3 linked regions of the Arabidopsis thaliana genome follow. The protein of the gene in region 1 interacts with the protein of each later gene in a pairwise test. Each region holds a gene or a part of one and is shown on either strand. Other genes may lie near its edges.

What was found.
Region 2: the proteins of WR3 (region 1) and NRT2.5 interact in a two-hybrid assay, tested with the Arabidopsis thaliana proteins (one study listed by BioGRID).
Region 3: the proteins of WR3 (region 1) and NRT2.3 interact in a two-hybrid assay, tested with the Arabidopsis thaliana proteins (one study listed by BioGRID).

What each region holds. Positions count from the first base shown.
Region 1 is NC_003076.8:20,432,647-20,440,836, forward strand, and holds WR3 (nitrate transmembrane transporter), read left to right. Parts: upstream 1-3,533; 5' UTR 3,534-3,661; coding exon 3,662-3,663; exon of another isoform or gene 3,664-3,749; intron 3,750-3,779; exon of another isoform or gene 3,780-3,965; coding exon of another isoform or gene 3,966-3,967; coding exon 3,968-4,116; intron 4,117-4,407; coding exon 4,408-4,889; 3' UTR 4,890-5,080; downstream 5,081-8,190. Other genes in the region: AT5G50180 (Protein kinase superfamily protein), read left to right, coding at 1-237. UniProt on the Arabidopsis thaliana protein: Acts as a dual component transporter with NTR2.1. Required for high-affinity nitrate transport. Acts as a repressor of lateral root initiation. May be involved in targeting NRT2 proteins to the plasma membrane.
Region 2 is NC_003070.9:4,412,957-4,421,401, reverse strand, and holds NRT2.5 (nitrate transporter2.5), read right to left. Parts: upstream 5,088-8,445; 5' UTR 4,998-5,087; coding exon 4,311-4,997; intron 3,961-4,310; coding exon 3,485-3,960; intron 3,411-3,484; coding exon 3,065-3,410; 3' UTR 2,812-3,064; downstream 1-2,811. Other genes in the region: RSH2 (root hair specific 2), read right to left, coding at 149-235, 336-877, 1,188-1,553. UniProt on the Arabidopsis thaliana protein: Nitrate transporter involved in the constitutive high-affinity transport system (cHATS) under long-term N starvation conditions.
Region 3 is NC_003076.8:24,447,656-24,455,775, forward strand, and holds NRT2.3 (nitrate transporter 2.3), read left to right. Parts: upstream 1-3,089; 5' UTR 3,090-3,183; coding exon 3,184-4,014; intron 4,015-4,211; coding exon 4,212-4,327; intron 4,328-4,428; coding exon 4,429-5,101; 3' UTR 5,102-5,309; downstream 5,310-8,120. Other genes in the region: ABCF1 (ABC transporter family protein), read right to left, coding at 6,105-7,162, 7,249-7,768, 7,903-8,112. UniProt on the Arabidopsis thaliana protein: Involved in high-affinity nitrate transport. Acts as a dual component transporter with NTR3.1.

The DNA.
Region 1 (8,190 bases):
GCTCGGCCCAACTTCACGCATATCATTGAGTTACTTCTTAACTATCTCTCTAAAGTTGGATCTCCGATATCCGCTATTCCACAACGGATTCTTGCTTCGAAGAACACGCTATTGCCACCGGATTCTCCTGGAACTAGCTCTTTGATGGCTAAGCTTGATGAATGTGGGGAAACTCCAAAGGCCAAAAGTGAAGACAAACGAAAAGGTTTGTTTTTCTGCTTCAATCAATGTTATTAACCTTGAAATCACAGAGTGGTTTTAGGACCAGAGATTTGGTAGACATCACTCAAATTATTCATGTAATAATATCCTCCCTACCATATGAATTTAGCAAGAAGTTCATTTATATAAATAAATAGTTATGTAATTGTAATGAATTTAAAAGTAGACGTAAAGAAAAAGTTTCCTAAAGAGGCTCATGTTCCCTAAATGAGAAAGTTTTAGTTTTGTTAAATTTATCGTTTTCTATTTTTCTATCTCTTCTATTATCAAGACTCGAGGATTAAAGAAGTCAACTCTTCATTTTCAACTTTTTTTTTTAATCGTTTTGGTTGTGATTTTTTTTCGACCAATTAGTATCACAAGATGTCGAACTTTTGAAAACCAAAGTTTGATATCTCAAATGCTACCAAGTGTAGGTTATGTGGCTTAGCCAAAGCATGTGTCGCGTGCTTCACGAAATAAGGGACAATTGGTGCATTTAGCGTAGGGATGAAATTAGAAAACTAGAAATGAGAAGTTATCTCAGAGGTCAAATTCATATTTGGTTATTGATTCACGGATCAAATATCCAAATGACTTCTAGCCAAACCGTTAGGAGAAAATCCGTCGGTTGAGAATCATATATGGCGCTGGTGAGTGAGACCACCGAAAACAAACTTTATATTTATGAATATAGTACGATTCAAACGAATCAACATGACACTGGATGAAGACATCGGTGGTATGAATCTTCTGATTTTGAATCTGGTAACACCATCACCATCCAAAATAAGAAAAAAAAAATACGAAAAATGATTAAAGAGAGCGTCTCCCATCCCAATTACTAAAAAAAAATGGGAAAGAAACCACCCGGCAATTGCTGGTAGCCGTAAAAACCAAACAAGAAAATAGATATTACTTTTGTCCTCCCAAAGATTTTGTCCAGTTAACCAACTTTTCGAAGCCATGTCTTACGTTTTCAGTATATGCCTCTAAGGCAACTTGTATTTTCTCAAAGTGTGGTTTCCATATTGTCATAACTCGGCTTACCTAGAAAAACAAGTAACAATGGTCACAATGTATAGTGCAATGTCAAAAGAGAATCAGACATAATGAATAAAGATGGAAACATATTAACCTCAAGATAGTCGTAGGAAACGTCGAATGGTTGGGTGAAATGTGGGGTCAAAAGCCTGCTTACATGTATGTAACACCTCGATGGACTTATCGGTTAAGTATTGAATTTTTGGTTGGAGATAAATGGTTAATGTCACATACACATCTTTGATGCTTGGAATCCATTTCTGTGATATCTAAGAGAAGAATTCAAAGGTTAATAAGAATAAAGCAATAATGACTTGTCTTATAACGAAAACCAAAAACTTTCAGAATAAAACCTTTTGAAGAGTTTGGCTAAGATCTTGTTGCCGCAGAGTCACTATATATGCTTGCAACCATAATAAAAAAAAAGAGGATCATTTAAGATTGATCACTATGACAATTTTATCGATGTTAATTATGAACCTTCTTATAGAGTTACCTGAGTTTTATTTAGGTTTAGACCAAGCAACTTCCCATCGATCTGAACACAAGTAAAAAAAAAGTAAAGAAAGCTTTTGAATATGTACATACATCAGATCCAAGGGACACCATGTTTCTTACATTTTCAAGCTTTGAGCCAAGTTCCGCGACTTTCTTTTCTGCGATTTCAGCTCGAGTTTCCACTTCCAGACTTCTCTTGCGTTGCATTTCCACTTCTTCTCGTAGTTCAAGTATCTGCCAATGCAGAACTAAATTGAGGTAACAAAACAAGAAGGAAATACACACCTCAAACTACAAAACACCAACCTGTTTCTGAAGTTCATAAGCCGTTCCTTCTGCTTCACTGGATTCTCAGTCTAAATAAAAAAGCATCAACAGCAACAAAAGTGTAAATAAGTTTCTTCTATACATAACAATTTTGAATACATGAACCAAAGATTAATTAAAAATATCACTTGAAGAGATCCAACCACATCAAAGATGATGCAGCTTGAGTAATTGTTAACTCTTTCCAACTTTGGAAAGAGACAAAACGTCAAAGTGATTTCCAGAAACAGAGAACGGAAGCTCAAAAGTCTCTCTTGTGCCAAATATATTAAACCCTAAAAAATTCAACTTCTATCCGAATTTCTCAGAAACAAAACAAAGACACATAACTTCATATGAAATTCCAGTGAACGGTTACCTGAGGAAGAACCTTATTTGTTATCAGTGTAAAATAACAGAGAAGAGGTACGAGTAAAAGAAACAAAAGTGACTTAGGAAACGCCATTGTTGGAGACTGCTCACTGGAAGATAGAGAGTCGTGAGAGACAGTGATAAAGCGTATCAAGTCATATAGAGGGTCTTCTTATCTTTTTCTTTAACATGTGAGGGTTGAGTTAATTATGCGGGCTGATTATAGAGTTTTTAAATTGAATTTACGATTGTTTTTTTCTTACATATAAATGCAATCTATATTTGTGTTCGGAATAACCCATCTAATATTACTCCATGTATTAAACTAAAATATTTTGCATGTTTTGGTAGATCAACTTTTTGAATGATCACAGACCTACAAACATCAACCCTCTAATTATCCAATTTTACCATAATCCACGAGCTCTTAAAATTCATTTTTAATATATATAATTAAAATAGTTCAAACAGTTTAAACTTTGTGACCAAGTTAAAATATTTAAAATAGTTTGACTTTGTGATCAACATATTTAAATATAATCAATATTTTCATTTTTAAGCCGGAAAATCACGTCTTACAAATATATTTCTGATAGACACACCTATAATTCCAAAATTTTGACTTTTAAAACAAACAAAAAAAAATCTCATTAATACCACTACATACGTTTTTACAAAAATACCATTAAAAGATATTTTTTCAAATACTAAAAAAAACTAAAACTAAACTTTAAACCTATAAAACACTAAATCCTATAAAGTTTATATTCGAGTATAAACCTTAAAAGTTCAACCCTAAATCCTGAAAGCAAGACCCTAAACCCAAACTCAAACTTTTAAATTATAAATCCTTAAACAAAATCATTTTTAGTCTTTATGGTATTTTTAGAGTTAACAGTTTGTAGTTGTATTTTTGAAAAAAAAACACTAGTGATAGGTTTTTAGAATAAAAACTTAATTTAGTGGTATTGAGGATATTTCTCTAATAAAAATTATTCACAAAAAATATGTATTAAAGCAAAGTGCTATGCTTATTCCATGCAATCTTTTTTGAAAAAAAAAATATTTTCTAACCGATTAGTATATCTTCTAGAGGATTCATAGAAAAAGAGGATACAATTACAATATGTAGAGTATCTTATAGGTGACGTAACCATGAAATATAGAATTCTTTGGAATCTGAAACTGAATTATTCAGTTGATAAATGATAAAACAAATACTCATATCTCATCCTTTGGCATGTTTAGGAGCCATCTCTCAGCTGGACGGAGACAACACAGACACTTGTGCCAGAGAGGGAACACAATCTTCCCAAGTCTTCGAAAGGGTAATCTCAGACCAAACCGTTGACTTTGTTCTCATTAATTGTTTATGCTAAACCACAAGATATTTGGATCAAAAGTATTACCATAAATCACTATATAAAGACATAAATGTGCACCCCACTTTTCTTATCAATCATAAAAGTCAGCAAAACACAAGGCATATTCCTCTTCTCTTCCTCAGCCTTATTTTTCTGATATTCAGTTTCAAGGATATATCCATGGCGATCCAGAAGATCCTCTTTGCTTCACTTCTCATATGCTCACTGATCCAATCCATCCACGGGGCGGAAAAAGTAAGACTCTTCAAAGAGCTGGACAAAGGTGCACTTGATGTCACCACTAAACCCAGCCGAGAAGGACCAGGTGTTGGTATGTATAATTCTCTTCAAAACATCTATCATTTGCTACTTCATTAGCCATGCCTTATAAATGTGCGATTTTGCTCTAATACCATGTTAGATTTTAAAGCTTTATGAATGTTAAGACAAATTTTTATGAGTGTTGGAAACATTAGTTCTCTTTAGTCGTTTATTACAACATCATTAGATCTTATCCTATTAATTAGAATTACTTAGAATTAAGTGATATGAATGATAGTATGATCTAATATCAATTTACAAGAATAAGTTGGAATTAATATTTTGAATGTTTGGTCTTTAGTTTTGGATGCCGGCAAGGATACGTTGAACATTACATGGACGCTAAGCTCGATTGGGTCTAAAAGAGAGGCTGAATTTAAGATCATCAAAGTTAAGCTATGCTACGCTCCACCTAGCCAAGTTGACCGACCATGGCGCAAAACCCATGACGAGCTCTTCAAAGACAAGACCTGCCCACACAAGATCATAGCCAAGCCTTATGACAAAACACTTCAATCAACTACTTGGACTCTTGAGCGTGACATCCCCACCGGAACCTACTTCGTTCGTGCCTACGCGGTTGATGCCATTGGCCATGAAGTTGCCTATGGACAGAGCACCGACGATGCCAAGAAAACCAATCTCTTCAGCGTTCAGGCTATCAGTGGCCGCCACGCGTCCCTAGATATTGCCTCCATCTGTTTCAGTGTCTTCTCCGTCGTGGCTCTTGTCGTCTTCTTTGTCAATGAGAAGAGGAAGGCCAAGATAGAGCAAAGCAAATGAGTCGTTTACTTTGCGTATTTGTGACGTTGAACCCAAAAAAAGTTGACTTTGAACTTTCTTGTTTACCAATTCCTTTTGTCTTGTTGCACACTTCTTCTTTCTTATATGCTTTTATTTATGTGTTTGTACAATTAAGCCATTGATATGGAACAAAACTAATCCTACGGTGGTGATGCGTTTGTGTGCTTTATATATTTTTTATACACCTTTTGATATATTCTTACACACTTTTTTCACAAAGATTGATATTTGCATAATTTGTGGTAATCATTCTCAAAATACGGTATATATACTTCACCTCTTACTTTCAAAGAGAAATCATAAGTATAACTAAGCAATAATTCTATATATAGGGAATTATGATATAAAATTTATCCAAATTTTCAAAATATTAAACAAATATCTAACAAGTACCTAAAAATTTAAAATTTCAAGAAATGAATGGAGTATAATAAAGGTTCCTATAATAAAAGCTGGAAAAAAAATGTAGTATAACAAAATAACAATACGTGACTTTTTTTTTTGTCGTCACAAAACATAACTTTTAAATGCAAAATGGAACTTTGTAATATGAAAAGTTGTAAAGAGATTGAAAGACACCATTAACGTTTGTCGTCTAAGCCTTGATATGCTAAAAGTGATAAGCATGATGAATTGCTGACAGCGATCCCGATCATCATTAAGATTAGGTTGTCATCAAGATCTAGTTTGGGGTTACTCAAAATGTCAAACATGTCGACACATAATAAGTTTACTATATTTGTAACTATATACTAGTAATAGATGCACTGAGGTCAGCCAATGTGAGTGTGATTATAATAATACTAATACGCAAATGCATACGTACAATACTGAGGCTTAAATGTGAATACAGCTTTCGTCAAAAAGTTTAATATTTCGTTCATGCAAAACTCATTGTTATGCTGCTGTTTAATTGATGTAACTATAAAGTTTTATAAATTCGTTTTTCTGCTAGTATACAAAAAAAAAAAACAAAAAAAAAAATTTGGAGTTGTTGCCCACCGTCTATCTCATCAACCAAATCGAGCCACTTGTTTGGAAAACCAAATGGTCATAATCAATATGGCTTATCAATAAGTTGTGCTGGTTATTACAAATTAAAAAGTCCATCTACCGAATGACGAAATATTTATATTATTTTCATTAATGATACATTGACCTTTCATATCTAAAAACTGTGATAGAACCCATTCCCAAGAGACATGGAGCCAAACAAGCCACGTTCAAATGGTTAAGTTCTACGTACGGAGGTAGTACCTTCTTTTATGGTCAACAAAAAAAAAACCTATCATACCTATTTCTTTTGAACATTGAAAAAAGTAAGAAAATTCAAAATTGGTTTTTGCAAGCTTTTGTTATAAAATTATCAAGATATAACTGAAACATCAAGAATACTGAGACGTAAATTAGAATATGTGGCAATATATCCCGTTTAATTCAGTTAAATAGATTATTTATTTAAATCATTTAAAAATATTTTTAAATTTGATATATTCAAAAACTTATGATATCTATAATAAATCCAAACTAAATAAATATATTATCTATTTATAGTAGACAAATTATAAATACCAAAAAAAAGAGAATTTGTAGAAGAAAAAAATACAACCTATATTTTTCTAAAGAAATATCTAGTTCCAATGTTGGATATAAAATTATACTGGTAACATTTGAATTACATTGTATTAAAAATTTACATCATATTTAACATAATTTAAATAAATATTTTAGCATCACATATCATTAACTTAATAGTAGCTTTTATACCGATTTTAAGAATATTTAGGTTGGATCCGATAGAATTTTAGATAATTTAAACATAAAGCTAAATGTCACTAATGTTCTTTTGATCCCAAAAAAAAACATATGTTCTAGTTAGTTGCACAAATGTTTTAGTTATAATGTAGATAAACTGTCATTATCACGCTTATAAATTCAAAGTATACCTAACAATAAAAAAAGTAAGCGACAATAGTTATGTATTCATACTTATTTAAATCTATAGATTATGAACCATTAAAAAAAAAAAAAAAATCGAAAGTTTTTTTTACCGTTAAAAATATTTTCTACGATGAGGTTGAACGTCACAATATGTCATATTACAATCAGATTGAATACTATGCTCAAGTCGCTCATTAAACCATCATATGAGAATATATAGAGATGATCATCTCAAATACACATACAATTGGATATTTAAAACTATCTTTTAACAAGTAGTACACATATCCAATTAGATTCGATGTCAGAATGTTGTAGTGATTAGAAGACATTAAGCATGTGATCGTTTCCTATTATCCGCTTGATGCATGTATTATGTAATAATTAAATCATACGTGATAGGTGATTTCACTGAAGAAATAATCAAAATTGTATTTTATGTATAATACTATTTCACCAATGTAGTAAGTGGAAATAACTTCAAACATATTTCAAGAGTTTTTTTGAAATAGTAATATTCCAAATGAATAGCTAGATAATTTATTGATAGAACATTTGCAATAGATTATACGAGAACATATAAATAAAATAGTTTTATGAGGGCGTTATCTTATAACCAACTATGCCAAAAGCATTAGGGTATAACTAAAAATTATCATCTTGCATTGAGACTCTAAACAAAATTTCTTTAAAATTGGCCTTTAAATGAGTACCATCAATAGAAATGCAGTTCCAGTTCCTCATGAACTTATAACTGATGCACCAAAAACCAAAACTACATCATTTGACTTTTTTCGACATATCTTTTCAATAAAAGAGACATACATATTTATGATTTTTTTTAATATACCATATTAAAACACTTCAATAAAACTTCATAACTAATAACAAGTGTACATGAAGAAATTTATATTTGTAAATATGAGGATATTGAGGATGACGGTAATGATGATCAATTTGATAAAATAATTAAGAAAAATATCAAAAATTAACCAACAACTGCACGCCTTATTATTGTTACAAAAGATTATAACAACCTTAAAAGAAAGTTAGTGTATCTTCCACCTTAATCAACACCTGAGGATTATGGACATATATTGTTGCTTACCGGGTATGCAGTTGACGCAAATGGCATAAAAGTTTGAGAAGCTCAAGATTCTTATGTATTAAGCAAAAAAATAGTCGGATTTATAAGAATAGCTAGAGGAAAAAACTTAATCTCCGATTTCTTTGAGATGAAAATTCGACTTTGAGATAAATATTTATTAACCATATTATTGATAAGTCTTTTATATAGCAGGTAACTTTCTCATCGTAAATCATGGATTCAGATCTTTCT
Region 2 (8,445 bases), on another chromosome or scaffold:
AACAAAACAAGAGACTACTACGCACGTTGGGTCTAGTCTTTATTCAGAGAATCTCTCTGATAATAAATAAATGAATCAAATAACAAATCATGTAAACCTTAAATGTTGTAAAGATGTTAATTAGTTTAAGAGATATAACAAATTTTACCATATGGAGAGTGCAGCTACGGAGACTTCAGCATTCTTCAAATATCCAGCAAATAATACGAGTGCCATAAAATACCAAATCTCCAAACTACAAAAGTAAATAAATTGTATTTAAAATATGAATTCATTAATGGGGTTGGATCAAATCGGACCAAAATAATTGGAAGAGAAAAAAGGTTTGCACTCACCAGAGCATGGCAGCAGAAGCCAAAGACAATTTAACAAACCCCCACAAATTGTGAAAAGCCTCCCACGTAAATCCAGACCAAGCCTCTCCACACGTACAATTAAAGATATACACAAGTTGTGCAACAACGATGACCCACCACGACGTGTTAAGCACTAAAGCTAAACCAGGAAGTCCCCAGTGTAACCTAGACATGACTAGCCACGTGAAGAAACTATGGATCACAAGAACCACACCGGATATTCCAGCCATGACCATGATCTTGCTTTGTGATTGCAAAAACTTCGCCGTTGGGAAGTTGATAGCGTAGGCAAAGATTTGTGGGATCATGTAAATGGAGAAAATCCCTGCCATGGCCGAGATTGCAGCGGTTTGGCCTATAAAGGTCAGGATTGGAGCCGCGAAGATATAGATTAGAGAAAGGAAGAGAGCGGTTACGCTTAGAATAACCCACGAGCGTTGTAAGTAAACGCCAAGCATTGATACTTTCCCTGCTCCAAACGCTTGTCCGCATAGCGTTTCCAACGCACTTCCCATTCCAAGCTAAAGGCACCATACATACAAATAATAGCCGTAAGAAATTTGCATACAAACTACCAAAATCATATTAAACTAGTTTTATAGTATGGCAAATATACAACAAAATGATATATATAGGTTGTTATATAAAAAGATTAAAGTTGATCGATTGTAGATTCTTAATACTTTGAATTTGGTGTGAAAAATGATTTGAAAGTATAATAAATCATTTATTTTAGTCTATAAAGAGATGCAAAAGATTTGTTAAATGTATACGTTCCATAACAGAAAGGGAAAAATGTGATCAGGGGAGACATATCAATGTAAAACGTACCATGATACCAAATGAAAAGCCGGCGATGACGGAGTTCTCAATGGAGACGGCGGCAAGAGCAAGAGTGCTAATATGTCCGGCGAAAACTTGAGTGACGGCTCCGAGAGAGTATTGGCTCATCGTTGTAAAAATGGCAGGGCCAGCTAGTTTCCATAGCTTTCTAGACTCGATTCTAAACTCTCTGACAAAGTCTCCGACACCGGAGATTGGAGGGATATCGACGGCGGTAGAGGAGAAGGAGACAAGAGAAGATGCTCTGCTTCCGACTCCAAGATACTCCATCAATGCTTTTTGGGTCGCCGGGTCGAGCTCCTCCTCCTCAGTTGACGCCAGAAACGGATCCTTGAAGTCATTATCTTTCTCCATTCTCCGACGACAAGAGAAAGAGAAAGAGAGAAAGAGAGTGCTTAAAGTTAAAGAAGAAGAAGGAGATCAATGATTTTGTAATCTTTAGGAATCAATGGTTTATGAATTATATAGAAGTTAATAGTTTTATTTTCTCTTTTATATAATATAGAGAACGATTAAAAAATAAATAAAGAACTAGATTTGGTACGACTTACGAGTGTTTGGAAGAGTGGTAAAAGACAGCTTTCACACTTAAGTTTTTGTTAATCAGACAGCTTTACACCAGTTAATCTTATTGACTTAGCGTTTCACAGTAGAATTTAATAGTTTATATGTTTGTGTGTGTGTCTCCATTACTGTATAATTGTCATTCAAAATCAAAAGGATGACGATTTGATATTCCATTCGCACGACTCGGCTAAACAATACAATAATGTAAAATGCAGTTATAATATATAAATCGTTTATATAAGAACATGCGACAACTCTTTTATTTCTTTTGTTTTGTTATATATCTTTGACCATTCAAATCTTTGTGTCGTGGACTCCATATGGCCTACTTCTTGCTACGTGCGGAGCAATTATTGTGAGTGTTTGTGACAATGTGGTAGATTGGGAAACATACAATAAAGATTTTATTCTAATTGGCCAAGATAGTAAAGACAGTAGTAGGCCCACTAGAGACATAATGAAATAAGAATAGGCCCATAATGGCCTTTCTAGCCCAATGGCATAGCGAGAAGATTACAAAGTTTTTCTTCCCTGCCAAAGATGTTGGGCTAAATATGCCCAAAAGTAAATAAAATAAAGATGTTGGGCTAAAAAGATGTGATCTATTGAAGATTTTAAGGTTTCATGGTATCTGTAATATACCAAAGTAAGTTCATCTTTCAATGAACTTTGACATAAAAGACAAGCTGTTTTGTTTTAAAAGTATTTGTAAAGTGGGAAGAATGTAATTGTTGTTTTTTTTGGTCACCTAAAAACACTTAATGATGTAATACTAATAGAAAGTTTAATTCAACTGCTATCTAATTTTGTTTTCAACTCAGTTAATATCTGATAATGAAATAAAGTACCAATTAGTAACTATGTAATTGTCATAGTTATTTGGATAAAACAAATAACCGAGTGTTTGATGTAAAAGAGCATATGAATATCGAAACGTTTTTGGTTTACAAGGTTAACAGACTAACAGTGTATAATAAATTATGAATCTACTGGTTTGTATTCTTGTGGTCAAATCATTATTATCACGATCAACAAAAGATAACTAAAAAACAAAATATGTATACTAAATGAAAATACGTTTGTTCATTCCATGATGAACAAACATTTACAAAAGCCTTCCATTACAAAGAAAGCAGTAACCAGTAGTAGGTTTTACATAACATACACAACTTATCACACAATTATAAATAAAATCAAGAAATTGAGTTCTTGAAAACTCTTAAGAAAAACAAAAGAGAAGAAGACAAAAACATAGTCAACAGTCGATACATATAAACAAAAAAAACACCATGAATTTATCAAGTTTGGGGATGAGTCGTTGTGGCTCGACCTCTTTCGCTAATGCTGGTTTCCGCAAATTTTTGGCTTCCGATATGTAAGTTCTTTTCTTTCTCTTCATCGTTCCATTCGGCGAGATAATAGTCTTCTTCAGTTACTTTTTTGGAAGAGGGTCCACAAAACATACCTCCCCATTGCGGAAAGTAAATCAAGCATATTGGTAATGAACATGCGATTGACATTACCCCCATTAGAGTTATACCCGTCTCTCTCGTGTATGTCGATCCTTTGAAGAATATCAACTGTGTTAAGACCGCGCCTACATTGCCTCCCGCACCAGTCATTCCCGATACCACCCCAAGAGATCTGCATAAACAAACTTTTGTAAGCAAAAATGTTGAATAACCAATCAAGCAACTCAATACCAAAATGTATGTTACCTTCTAGAAATAAAGGGAACAACGCCAAAGGTAAGTCCACAAGCGGCTTGGACGAATACAGAGAAGACAAGCATAACAATTATAGACACTGTCAAGGAAGAAATCTGGCCAAGACATGCGCATAATACACCTCCTGATGTTTGCACAATCCACCAAGCCCACAACCTTCCTCTCATCCCAAACCGTCTCGACATAAAATCAGAGAAAATTCCTCCTCCAGGTCTAGCGAAAAAATTGGCTAGTCCAAAACTCGCTGCTATAATCCCTGCTGTCTGGAGCTTTAAATGGAATCTATCGAAGAAATATTCTGCGATGATGTTGTCAATGGTAAGCTCTACTCCAAAACAATAGCCATATGCTAATGCTGTTATCCATCCCCTATAGTTTTTGATTCCATTAGATATCACTTTCCCCACATCATCTTTCTCCCTCTCTCCAGATTTATGCATCGCCCAATAATCTCCATCAGGAAGATCCTACTCATTTCCAAAAACATATAGCAAACATAAGACAAAACAAATGTATCCTTTTACTATTCCTTGTAATAGACACAACTTAGATGATTAAACAGTTATTGTCCATATCCACTGAAACTCGACCATGATTAACCGACTAAAGACTCTACTAGACGACCCAAACCGGTATCAATAAACCGGGTTTGCACCTAAACGAATCGGTTTAATCATTTATATAGAACAGGATAAACTGACTATACAAAGAAAGTAAATTTAACCAAAACAAAAAATAACTTGGTGATAAATTCTCAAAACCGGATTAGTTGAAAAAACCAAAATAACTGAACCGGTGAGTGTGATTGGTTTGTTACCTGACCGAACAAGAGAACGGCGAAAGCAGAGAGAGTCTGAAAGAGACCGGGGATGAAAAAAGCGATCCTCCACGCGGTGAACTTGGTGGCTCCCATATTACGAATCAACGAGAACACGATGGGCATGATCAGCTGCGTCGCGCCTCCTCCGAGGTTACCCCACCCGGCGGCGATTCCGTTAGCCGAACCCACGACGGGTCCAGAGAACATGGAGCTCATCCAGAACTGAGTCGAGACGAAAGTGGCGAGAGAGAATCCGGCGAAGAATCTCACCATGATAAACCCGATCGGAGACTTTATCCCGGCGGTGAAATAGACGGCGGGAGCGGTGGAGAGCGTCAAAGCGGCGGAGGCTAGACGTGGACCGAAAAGATCACATGCCGTGCCCATGACGATACGAGCGAAAACAGCGCCGGAGACAGAGGCTATTCCGGCGTTTCCGATGTCGGTGGCGGTGAGGTTAAGATTTTCACGGATAACAGGGAGGAGAGGCGGAGCTGCGAAAGTGGAGACGAAGCAGCAAAAGAATTGAAACCATGAGAGATGGAAAGCTCTCATGTGAGGTTTAGCGACTGAGAATAGTCGGAAAGTTGTTGCTTTGTTCTCCGCGTCCACCGGAAGTGCGAACCTCCGAGGTGCGGTTGTGGTGGTGGTTCCAGCTTCTCCTCCTTTGCCTTCGACCTCCATTTTTGTGATCTTTGTGAAGGTTCAGAGAATTTTGGAGGTTTAGGGGTTTAAGGAATGAGGAATCTCAGGTTTGAGGTTATGAGTATTTATAGAGAAGGAGAGTGTTAAAGCTGTGACATTTTCATGGATTTATGTTCTTGTGAAGCGTTGATGTAATCATTTTAATATTTATTTATTTTTGGATTTTGAATGCTATCTTTTTATTTTTAGTGTGATGGTATAAAAAAAAACTTGAATCATTACATAAAGGTTTTCTGGTTTTTCTTTCTAGATGAAAAATAAAATATATTAAATCTTGGTTTTGATTGAATCTAAGATGGTTGAGTTTAATGTGGTGTTTAGTTTTCGTTTAGATATATAAATTTTGTTATAACTAAGTTAGATTGTAAGCACCGCGATTGAATCTAAGATTGTTTGGTTTAGTACGGTGTTTTGTTTAGATATATAAATTTTGTATTAAGAGGGTTAGCACCGCTCTTTCAGAAGTATTGGAGGCTGACTTGAGATCTCAATTCACTTGTGGCAACATTGAAAGTTTCCTTGTGTCATCGACCATTAGAACGTGTAAATTTCGTGAATGTCATTAACTTTTATAGTCTTTTGTCGTATTTACAACATATTTTTTAGTTTTCTGTTTCTCTTCGTTACGTCTCTGTGTTCAGTATAAGTTCTAAAATAAATTTTCACATTTTATCTAAATAGAAAAGGTTAGATTGTAACTCAATTTGAAGATCAAGAGATTCATTTAATTAATATCAAATCGATTTGAGAGTTTTTTGTTTGCATTATCTACTTTAAACATTCTAATTTTTTTGAGTTGTGCATTGTGATTTGTGAAAAATAAAGTTATATAAATGAGAAAGAGAGAGAGTTTGAAATCAATTTTTGTTACAATTAATATTTGTTTTTGTAAGTTTACCAAAACAAAACTTCCATAATCTTTACTTTAACTGACTAACTAACAAAAAAATTCACAATGATGTTTTCCATATTCATGTCATTTTTTTTTATTTTCAAGCGAATTAAGAAGAAAAAATTTATTTCATATTTTCATTAATTTATATAGAGAAAGTTTAGACATTATTTATCAGAATTTACACTAAAATCCTAAAACAACACATTATTAATTTCTGTGGGCAAAAAGCAACAATTATTTTAAAGAAAACAATGGTCTAAAATAACAGTTAGTTTATTTTAATGTTGGATCTATGAAATATAGTATATGCATAAGATGCAATAATTCAATTAGTTCCCTTTTTGTTTTTGTCATTGAATGTTTAATTGAAAATCAAAAACTCAAAATAGTAGTATAAGTATTCAAATTATTGTTTTGGCATACTATTTATTTACTCTTAAAATCTTATAATAGTTATTTACATATCAATTAATATGCTTTACATATATATATATATATATATATATATGTGTATTATATATATTAATATTTGTTTTCGAAGTCAATACTTGAGACTCGGGGATCAGTTGCTTGCTTCGTTTTGGGCTCCTTAACCATGGCAAAGGTAAAGTCTTCGAAAACTTTGGCAAAGTCTTTACTCTTTTTTTTTTTTTTTTTTGTTACAACAACGTACGTGTTACAAAACTTCTCAACTTGTTGTTTCTTAAATGCTTTGTCTATATCGCTTGTATGAAATGATCTTTTCAAAGAAACAAGAAGAGGGACCATTTTGATGGTTTGTTTTCAAAGACGGTTTATGAATCTTATCAAGAAGTTTATGAACTCAAGCAAATATAAAACCACCAATATAGAAATAACAAATATATATGTTAAGATGTAAGAACTATATAAGAAAAGATGATACGGGATTCCAGATTTTTAAGAACTATATAACACACTTACCAAAATCTCATTTCACTGATTTGATCTATAACTTTGAAACTAACATCTCGCATCCTATTATGAAGTATTATCACGTAAATCTGTCTTTTTGCTTGTTTATTTTTTGGAAACGGTGATATCAACCTTTTGGAATTTATATATTTTATATTATGTATGTCAAACATACAAATAATTGTGAATCCATCAAAATGAATACAATTATACACACTAATCATGATTTTTGAAGATATAACTGAAAGTGTATGAGTATCATTATGATTAAATTTTCATAGGTTTATATGTATTTCATGGTTATAAAATTCAAAACGCATCTTGGATTTTATGATTATTTTTCTGTAATCTTTGAAAACTCACACATTTAATTGAATGTAAAAAAGACAATCTAAGATGAAATTATATTTAAAAACTTATTTTTTAAGGAACATTTAACATAAACCGACTATTTATTAATACCACAAAATTTGTTTTTCTCTTATGTAAATATCACTATATGCACTAGATAAAAACTTAATGTTTAAGTTGATAGTCATCGAACTCGATGAAAGAGATAAACTCGAAAAAGATATATTTTCTGTTTTGAAAATCTTTTGAATCATATATATATATATATATATATATATATATATATATATTTCTCTTTTTTTTTTTGCTATTTATAATGTTTATAGAGATTTGGAAGATTTTCAAAACAAAAAAATCCTGTTTTTGAATTTTTTTTTCATCGATTTCGATGGCTTACACATTAAGTTTATCTATTGCATAAAGTAACATTTTCAAAATAGAAAAGACAAAATTTATGATATCAATTAATAGTCGTTTTATGTTAAATGTTCCTTGAAAAATGAAAACTTTTAGATGTGATTTAGTCTTAGATTTTCTTTTTTTACATTCAATTAACTGTGTGAAGTTTTAAAAATTATAATGAAAGAGTTCTAAATTTAAGATAAATTTCGATTTTATAATGGCAGACCTACTAAAATTTAATCATAATGATGATTTATATACTTTCGGTTATATTATTAAAACCCATGATTTATGTAACTATTTCTATTATAATATAATTGTATTCGTTTTGATAGATACACACTCATTTTTATATTTGACATATAAAGTACATTTTCTAAAGGTTGAGATATATGACCACCTCCTAAAATAAATCAGCAAAAAAAAGAAGATTACAGTGTTAATACTTTATAATAGAATGTGAGATGTTAATGTCAAAGTTATAGATCAAATGAGTGAAATGGAAATCTGATAAGTGTGTTGTATAGTCCCTGAAAAAAACGTATAATATTTTCCTATATAGTTCTTAACACACATATATATATATATATATATATATATATATATTTCTATATTAGTGGTTTTATTTGCTTAAGTTCAAAAACTTGTTGATAAGATTTATAACCACCGTTCATTAAACACAAACCACCAGAATATTTAAATAGTTAAGCCGTTTATTTGGACTAAGCAACAATTCAAGTGTTGATTAAAATTGAGGAATATTCTGTAGGTCCCTAGAATGCGGACTTTTGTTAATGTGTGGAATCTTGTGAGCGAAGACTTTTCGCATCTCCTTCTCCCCTGGAC
Region 3 (8,120 bases), 4.0 Mb from region 1:
TGTGGAGTTTTCAGTTATGGGTCGAATGCCGAAAATGAATACTAGGCAAAACTTTTTATTGTAAACCAACTTTTTGTCTTATCCGAAACTTTCTGATTAGTAAACACACATTTTTAACTAGTACTCACAGACGAGAACAAGATATGTAGATGACGTGTGTGTTAAAATTCAATGGTTTGAATGATGAGAATTAAGTCAGAGAGGAGACGTACCGTACATCTTCCGCATCCTAAGGACAGAACCCAATGCTGTGATCTGTACGGTTATAAAATAGGAGTACTACTTTAACAGATAAGTCAATTAAGTTATCGTTAATATATTTATTATTTAAGCAAGTCAATAATTAGCACCTATCATAAATTTTTATATGAGCACGATAAGCATCAACCACTTTATTGGTGAATAATCCCACGTTGTTTCGTGAAAATTGCCGTCATTGGAGCGCGACTATTACATTATACAACTAAAACTTTCTGAAAATTTACAAAAAGGAGTCATAATTATTCACGCTGAATAAAAAGTAAATCTGTTTTTAACCTACAACTTTTGACTCCAATCTATTCACACCGTTTACTTTTCAATTAATCCACTTGAAGGTATATACTAGTGATGTTCACTTCAAAAGCCCGTATCTACGAAATCCAAACCAAATTGAAAAATCCAATCTAAAAACTTATCTGAATCTTTTTATCTGTCGAATTCGTTGTAATTTTCCCTATATCAAACAAATTACAACCTGAACCGGGCGAACAAAAAAGGAAAAGACAAAAACTGAAATATTTTTTTTGTATAGCTTTTTGCTAGTGCTAACGTTAAGAAATTCTCAACATTGTTTGTTTTGTCTGTTAAAGTTTTTTTTATATACAAGGAGTTCCACTAAATAGTATTATGAATAATAGATAATTAAGTTTTAATTATGGTAATTTGATGAAGAACTAGACTCTATTTGCATTGTAGTTTTACGTATACATGAAAAGTAGAAGTCTACCAAGTTGAGCAATAAACATTCTATAAACTTGAGAAGTCAATGAGCCAATAACTCCTGTAATGAAAAATAGTTAGAGACAATTTTTTTTGTTTGACCTTTCCACAATTTTCGATTCTTAACCTATAAACATTGGACTTTTTTAGTTGCCTTCCCCTACATGTAAAAACAATATATATATACATTTTTGCAGCCATTTTGTGAAATAAATTCTAGAGTTGGAACTTATTTACAATGGCTGCCACTGGATTTTAATGTTTGTTTTTGATAATTAGAAAAAAAATCTTCAAATTAAATATTTGACATTTAACAATCTTCCCTAAATCTCTCCACATTAACTACACGGTTAGTTACTAAAATTAAACTTCCAAAATATTTAATATCATTTAATTACTACACAATTATCATTTTTGATATTGTTTTTCTCCATGACTATAACAATTCGATTATAATCATCAAACCGTAGAGATATTTGATAGCATTTAATTACTACAAAATTATAAAATATTTAGACAATAATTCATAAAAATATCATAAATAAGATCAATATTAATAAAATAAATGGTTTTTTTACGGGACGGGTTGGCGGGACGGGTTTGGCAGGACGTTACTTAATAACAATTGTAAACTATAAAATAAAAATATTTTATAGATAAATACAATTTGCAAAGTTTTATGTATAGTAACTTTAAAAAATAAATTGTTTCCGCGGTGTACCGCGGGTTAAAATCTAGTATATATATATAGAACTAAAACCATTACAAAAAGAAAAGATTTCGCCTTTTTAATGATGGATAATTCTAAAGCCTATAAGACTTAAACTTTTATTTAAAATCTACAGTTTGTTGCCCAAATAAAATGTGATAAGTATAGAGATAACAAAATATAAAATTATTTCTTACCAAAAAAAAATATATATATATATATATAAGACTATTTTACCGTAATTTATTGATGATTGCAGACAATACAAGATATCTCTAGTTTACAAAAATATCATCAACAATATTCGAGAGAATAGTTCTTTTGAGTATTTGCGGATGGCCGGAAACAACAACACTTAGAAATCATATTTAGTAAAGAATTATGTTTAGAGTTTAGACTTTATAGCTTATATATTATATTGAGATGATAGATGATTATAAGGAAAAACATAAGGAAGTCAACTTATCATAACGCTTCATTGTAAGGATATGCGAATATCAAAGGCGGAAAGATTTAGAATAAGTGAATAACCCATAATTTCATAAACGTTAGAGCATTTTTTTAGGAAATTATTTTAAGATAGCAATTATTTCATTTGGTGAGTCGACCACATGGAATCCTCAAGAGACAAATGAAAAATAATTAGACTTTTTGACGATTTTTGCCTTCATTGATACGTACGGCCTCTTAGGCTTTTTAGCTATTTCCAATGCCAACTGTCAACATTCGTATCTCTTTCGCCATTTTAGTGAAATTCCACAAAGTCATTATCTTTGATGTATATAACTTGCCAGGCTGCTACTATACCAAATAGATTTATAAATATTATTTTTAGATTTCTTTTCCATACTTTTTAATTCTCAAACGAAACTTTATGCAAAGTTGAAATAAAGTTTTCTTCTGCATTTCACTTAAAATTATAATTTGTCAAACAGAAGTGCAAACATTGATTTTCTGACTGAAAATTTTTCAACCTTACAAAAGTTGCTTGAACTTTGTTTAGAAAAAAGAAAATACTAATACTTGATAAACCCTCACGGTTCCTATTTTAAAACCAAAACCTTCAAATCAAAGACTCAAGAATCAATTCATAAATGTGTGAGACAAAACTCATAACCCAAATATGGTACACGTACGTATGAAACGTACTTAAATGCTACAAAAGAATAATATGTTTAGTTCTCAAATTTAAATAATTTTTTCCTTCTATCATTACTAATCAAAATTACAACTCATATCTATACTAAATGCTATTATCAGCTAACAATAATAAAATTTTCACAAATTGGTAAAGTCCTTATTAACTTTTACTTATCTTATTCAAATCTCATTATTGGACCCACCTAACCCTACCCACCATATGATATTGGTATCCCCTCTGGCCTCTATATAAACTTTGCATTTCTCTAATCTCCAACTTACACCAACAAAACACAACAAAGACCATTAGCCTTCTCTCCCACTCAGAGTCTTTCATCTCACTCTCGCCTTAAATGACTCACAACCATTCTAATGAAGAAGGCTCCATTGGAACCTCCTTGCATGGAGTTACAGCAAGAGAACAAGTCTTCTCTTTCTCCGTCGATGCTTCGTCTCAAACAGTCCAATCAGACGATCCAACAGCTAAATTCGCCCTTCCGGTTGATTCCGAACATCGAGCCAAAGTGTTCAACCCACTCTCTTTTGCTAAACCTCACATGAGAGCCTTCCACTTAGGATGGCTCTCATTCTTCACATGCTTCATCTCCACCTTCGCGGCAGCACCATTAGTCCCCATCATCCGCGACAACCTCGACCTCACTAAAACCGACATTGGAAACGCCGGAGTCGCATCCGTCTCTGGTGCCATTTTCTCAAGGTTAGCCATGGGAGCGGTTTGTGATCTCCTCGGTGCACGATATGGGACTGCCTTCTCCCTCATGCTAACCGCCCCAACCGTCTTCTCAATGTCGTTTGTGGGTGGCCCTAGCGGATACTTAGGCGTCCGGTTCATGATCGGATTCTGTCTCGCCACGTTTGTATCATGCCAGTATTGGACCAGCGTTATGTTCAACGGTAAGATCATAGGACTAGTGAACGGCTGTGCAGGCGGGTGGGGTGATATGGGCGGTGGAGTGACTCAACTCCTAATGCCGATGGTCTTCCACGTCATCAAACTTGCCGGAGCCACTCCGTTCATGGCCTGGCGGATAGCTTTCTTCGTTCCCGGATTTCTTCAAGTTGTTATGGGCATTCTCGTCCTCAGTCTCGGCCAAGATCTCCCTGACGGTAACCTAAGTACCCTTCAGAAGAGTGGTCAAGTCTCTAAAGACAAATTCTCCAAGGTACTTTTCTATATATATATATTTCTGTCTCATCTTCAAATATATAACAAATCCAGACCAAGAAGAATATGGCTCTCATTAAAAGAATCTTGCAAACATTAAACATACTCATGAAGTTTTGCAATAAATTCGTGAAGAACTATTTCGTTTATTTAGTTAAATAAATTTCTAGTGTCTAAAGGTTTTTCTTGTTATAGGTTTTCTGGTTTGCTGTGAAGAACTACAGAACATGGATTTTATTCGTTCTTTATGGATCTTCCATGGGAATTGAATTAACTATCAACAACGTTATCTCCGGATATTTTTACGACAGGTTCGATTTCTTATTCGTTAAAACCCAACTGATGAACTTACTTACTTCTGTCACAAGGTAATAACCTTAATTTGTTTTCTTGTTCTCTACGTATTTATCAGGTTTAACCTTAAGCTTCAAACAGCTGGTATAGTAGCAGCCAGCTTTGGAATGGCTAACTTCATCGCCCGTCCCTTCGGTGGTTACGCTTCTGATGTAGCGGCTCGGGTTTTTGGCATGAGAGGCCGGTTATGGACCTTATGGATCTTTCAAACCGTAGGAGCTCTTTTCTGTATCTGGCTAGGTCGAGCTAGTTCACTTCCCATAGCAATCCTAGCAATGATGCTCTTCTCAATCGGTACACAAGCAGCTTGCGGAGCCCTCTTCGGAGTTGCACCTTTTGTCTCGCGCCGCTCTCTAGGGCTCATATCGGGACTAACCGGCGCAGGAGGAAACTTCGGGTCCGGTTTGACTCAACTGCTTTTCTTCTCATCAGCGAGGTTTAGTACAGCTGAGGGACTCTCATTGATGGGCGTTATGGCGGTTTTGTGCACACTCCCAGTTGCGTTTATACATTTTCCGCAATGGGGAAGCATGTTTTTAAGACCGTCGACCGATGGAGAAAGATCACAGGAGGAATATTATTACGGTTCTGAGTGGACGGAGAATGAGAAACAACAAGGATTGCACGAAGGAAGCATCAAATTTGCAGAGAATAGTAGGTCAGAGAGAGGCCGGAAAGTAGCTTTGGCTAACATTCCAACGCCGGAGAACGGAACTCCAAGTCATGTTTGAAGACAAAACTTACAAGAGATTTTCCTTTTACATTAAATCCCTTTTTAATAGTTTCATACTCCACTCATATATGTACCGAGTAAGACCTTTTCTGTGATAGGTAAGGATCGATGAGCTTGGTACTTTAGTATAAATTATTGTAATGTCATCAGAATGTTCAACTACTCTTTTTTCTGCACCAATAAGCTTTATGTTCAATCAGATTTACATGTCAAGTGAAAAAAACAAAAAAAGTCTCTGTTTACGGTGTGTGAAATGCTAAGAGAGTCCACATGAAGAAAACTTTATGGACAAGGACCACGGAAGAAGCAATTGAATGAGTGATCTTTACATCACAGAAACGGATCTCATCGAAAGAATGTAAGAAGAGTATGAGAAAATAATAAACTACATAGATTTTCGAAATATTGATTCAGAAGATTAATATGTTATTTTTTTCCACTCACACTACTCATTTTACAAGAGATACTCCAGAGATTTTATGTGCAACTCTGTAATTTGATTCAAGATTCCTTCACTGGAATCAACATAAAGATGGAATATCTGAGTCACCTTTCCAACGAATATTCGAATATAATTATGAGAATATTCGAATATAATTATGAGAATATTCCCACTTTAATATTAAATATAATACCATAATCGTCAACATCTCAGTCTTTAAAAAAACAGAAAAAAAAAATCCTACAATACCACCAAAAAATATTACTTTTCTCTCTGTTTCGCCTTCAAAAAAACGTTCAACAACAATAACGAAAAAAAAAGAAGGTGCACATGATAATGATAATACTAATATAGAAAGAATCTCTGACCTCTTAAGGAAATGCAGAGATTAGTGAGTATGGTTTCTCTGTCTCTCAAGTGTGTGGCTTTAGAACTCGTTAAAAACCATTCCCAAACCCATCAAAAAAACCAAAGCCTTCCCTCTCTCTCTCTTAGCATGTGACCCCAATCTGAGTCTTTTCCATTTTCCATCAAGAGAAGAAGACTCGACTCTCTATCTTCAATCTTCAAGTCCGGCTTTAGCCTTAAGGTGCCTCTTGAAGTCCATAATGTCACCATTCCATTTAGTGATGCATTGTTTCTCGCAAACCCATATCTCATGAGCCACTTGGTTGATCAACCTGAAGTCGTGACTAACCAGAACCAAACCACCATCCCACTCATTCAATGCCTCAGCAAGCGAGTCGATTGTCTCGATATCCAAATGGTTAGTAGGCTCATCAAGAAGAAGCATGTTAGGCTGCTTATAAGCTAACCACGCAAAGATCACTCTGCTCCTTTGTCCGTCAGATAGATTCTTCATTGGCATCACTTGAGCCTTACCAGTTAGACCAAACCTACCAATCGCAGCTCTCATTTTCTCCTCTTCAGTACCCGGGAACTCCCTCATCATGTAGAGAAGTGCAGGCAATTCCAAGTCTAGCTTCTCAGCCAGATGCTGATGGTACTGAGCAATCTTCAAGTGGTTGTGACGTCGCACCATTCCTTCAGTTGGGTGCAATTCACCAGTCATGAGCTTCAAAAGTGTACTCTTTCCAGCTCCATTAGGTCCCACAAGGGCAACCCTCGAGTCCAAGTCGACACCAAAGTCAATGTTCTTGTAAATAAGATAGTCCGGTGTGTAACCAAAAGACACTTCAACAAACTGAAGCACTGGCGGTGGAAGCTTCCCAACATCAGCAAAACGGAAAACGAGAACACTGTCTCTAGCAACCTTTTCAGTGAGCCCACCTCTCTCCATCTTTGCCAATGTTTTCTCCTTACTCTGTGCTTGACGAGCAAGTTTGGCTGAACCGTGACCAAACCGAGCAATGTACTCCTTCATGTGAGAAATCTGCTCCTGCTCCCATCTGTATTGTTTCATCTGGTTCTCTTCAAGTTCAGAACGAGTCTGGCAATACTGATCAAAGTTACCAGTGTAGTACTTGAGCTGTTTGCTCTGCATGTGGATGATGTTTGTACACACTCCATTCAAGAAATCCTGTGAGTGGGATACCACAACAAGGATGCGATCAAAATTCTTCAGGCTCTCTTCTAGCCACACACAAGCTTCCAAATCTGTTCCAAGAGACAACAACAACATCAGCGACACGATACTTAAGGAAAACCATCTGAAGCGAGTACAAAGAAGAGAGATTACCAACCTAAATGATTAGTCGGCTCATCAAGCAAAAGGATTGTCGGCATAATGAAGAGTGCTCTTGCCAATGCAATTCTCATCCTCCAACCACCAGAGAAATCTTTTGTCTTCTTCGCCTGCATTTCCTTGTCGAAACCAAGTCCAAACAGAATTTCAGCAGCACGTTTCTCAGCGGTTTCTGCATCCATGGCGTCTAACCTCTCATAGATAGATTGAAGACGCTCTCCGCCTCCATCATCCTGCTGTACAAGAATTTCAACTTCTTTCTCTAACCTCAACCTCTCCTCATCACAGCTAACAACAGCCTCCAGGGAAGACATGTCAGTAGCTTCAATCTCGTGAGACAAATGGTAGATATCCATTTGATCCGGAATCGGTATCTCTCTGCGTCCGATTGCAGTTAAAAGAGTGGACTTTCCACAACCATTCAACCCAAGGAGACCATAACGCCTTCCATAGTTAAGCTCCAACATTGAATCAACAATAAGGTCATAACCATGAAACGTCACAGACAGAGATTCTATCTGCAACATATTTTAAACAGAGGATACAAAGTATGAGCAATCAAACAAGGATTATCCAAACATATATTCACAGATCAAAGGACACGAATCTAAATTTCCAAATCGAATCACGAAATCTAGATAAGAGGACTTACTCGGATATCTCTAGATTGAGGATGAGAACAGAGAACTCCGGTACAAGTCCGATCAGAAATTTGAAGAGCATCGACACCGCTTGACAAGCTATCAACACCGTTGGAAGAAGTAGCGGCGGATTTGGATGGAGCAGCAGCTTTACCACCTCTTTTAGCGGCGGCAGCAGCTTTCTTCTGAGCTGCCTTCTTCTTGCTAGCGTCAGACACCATCTTCAAAT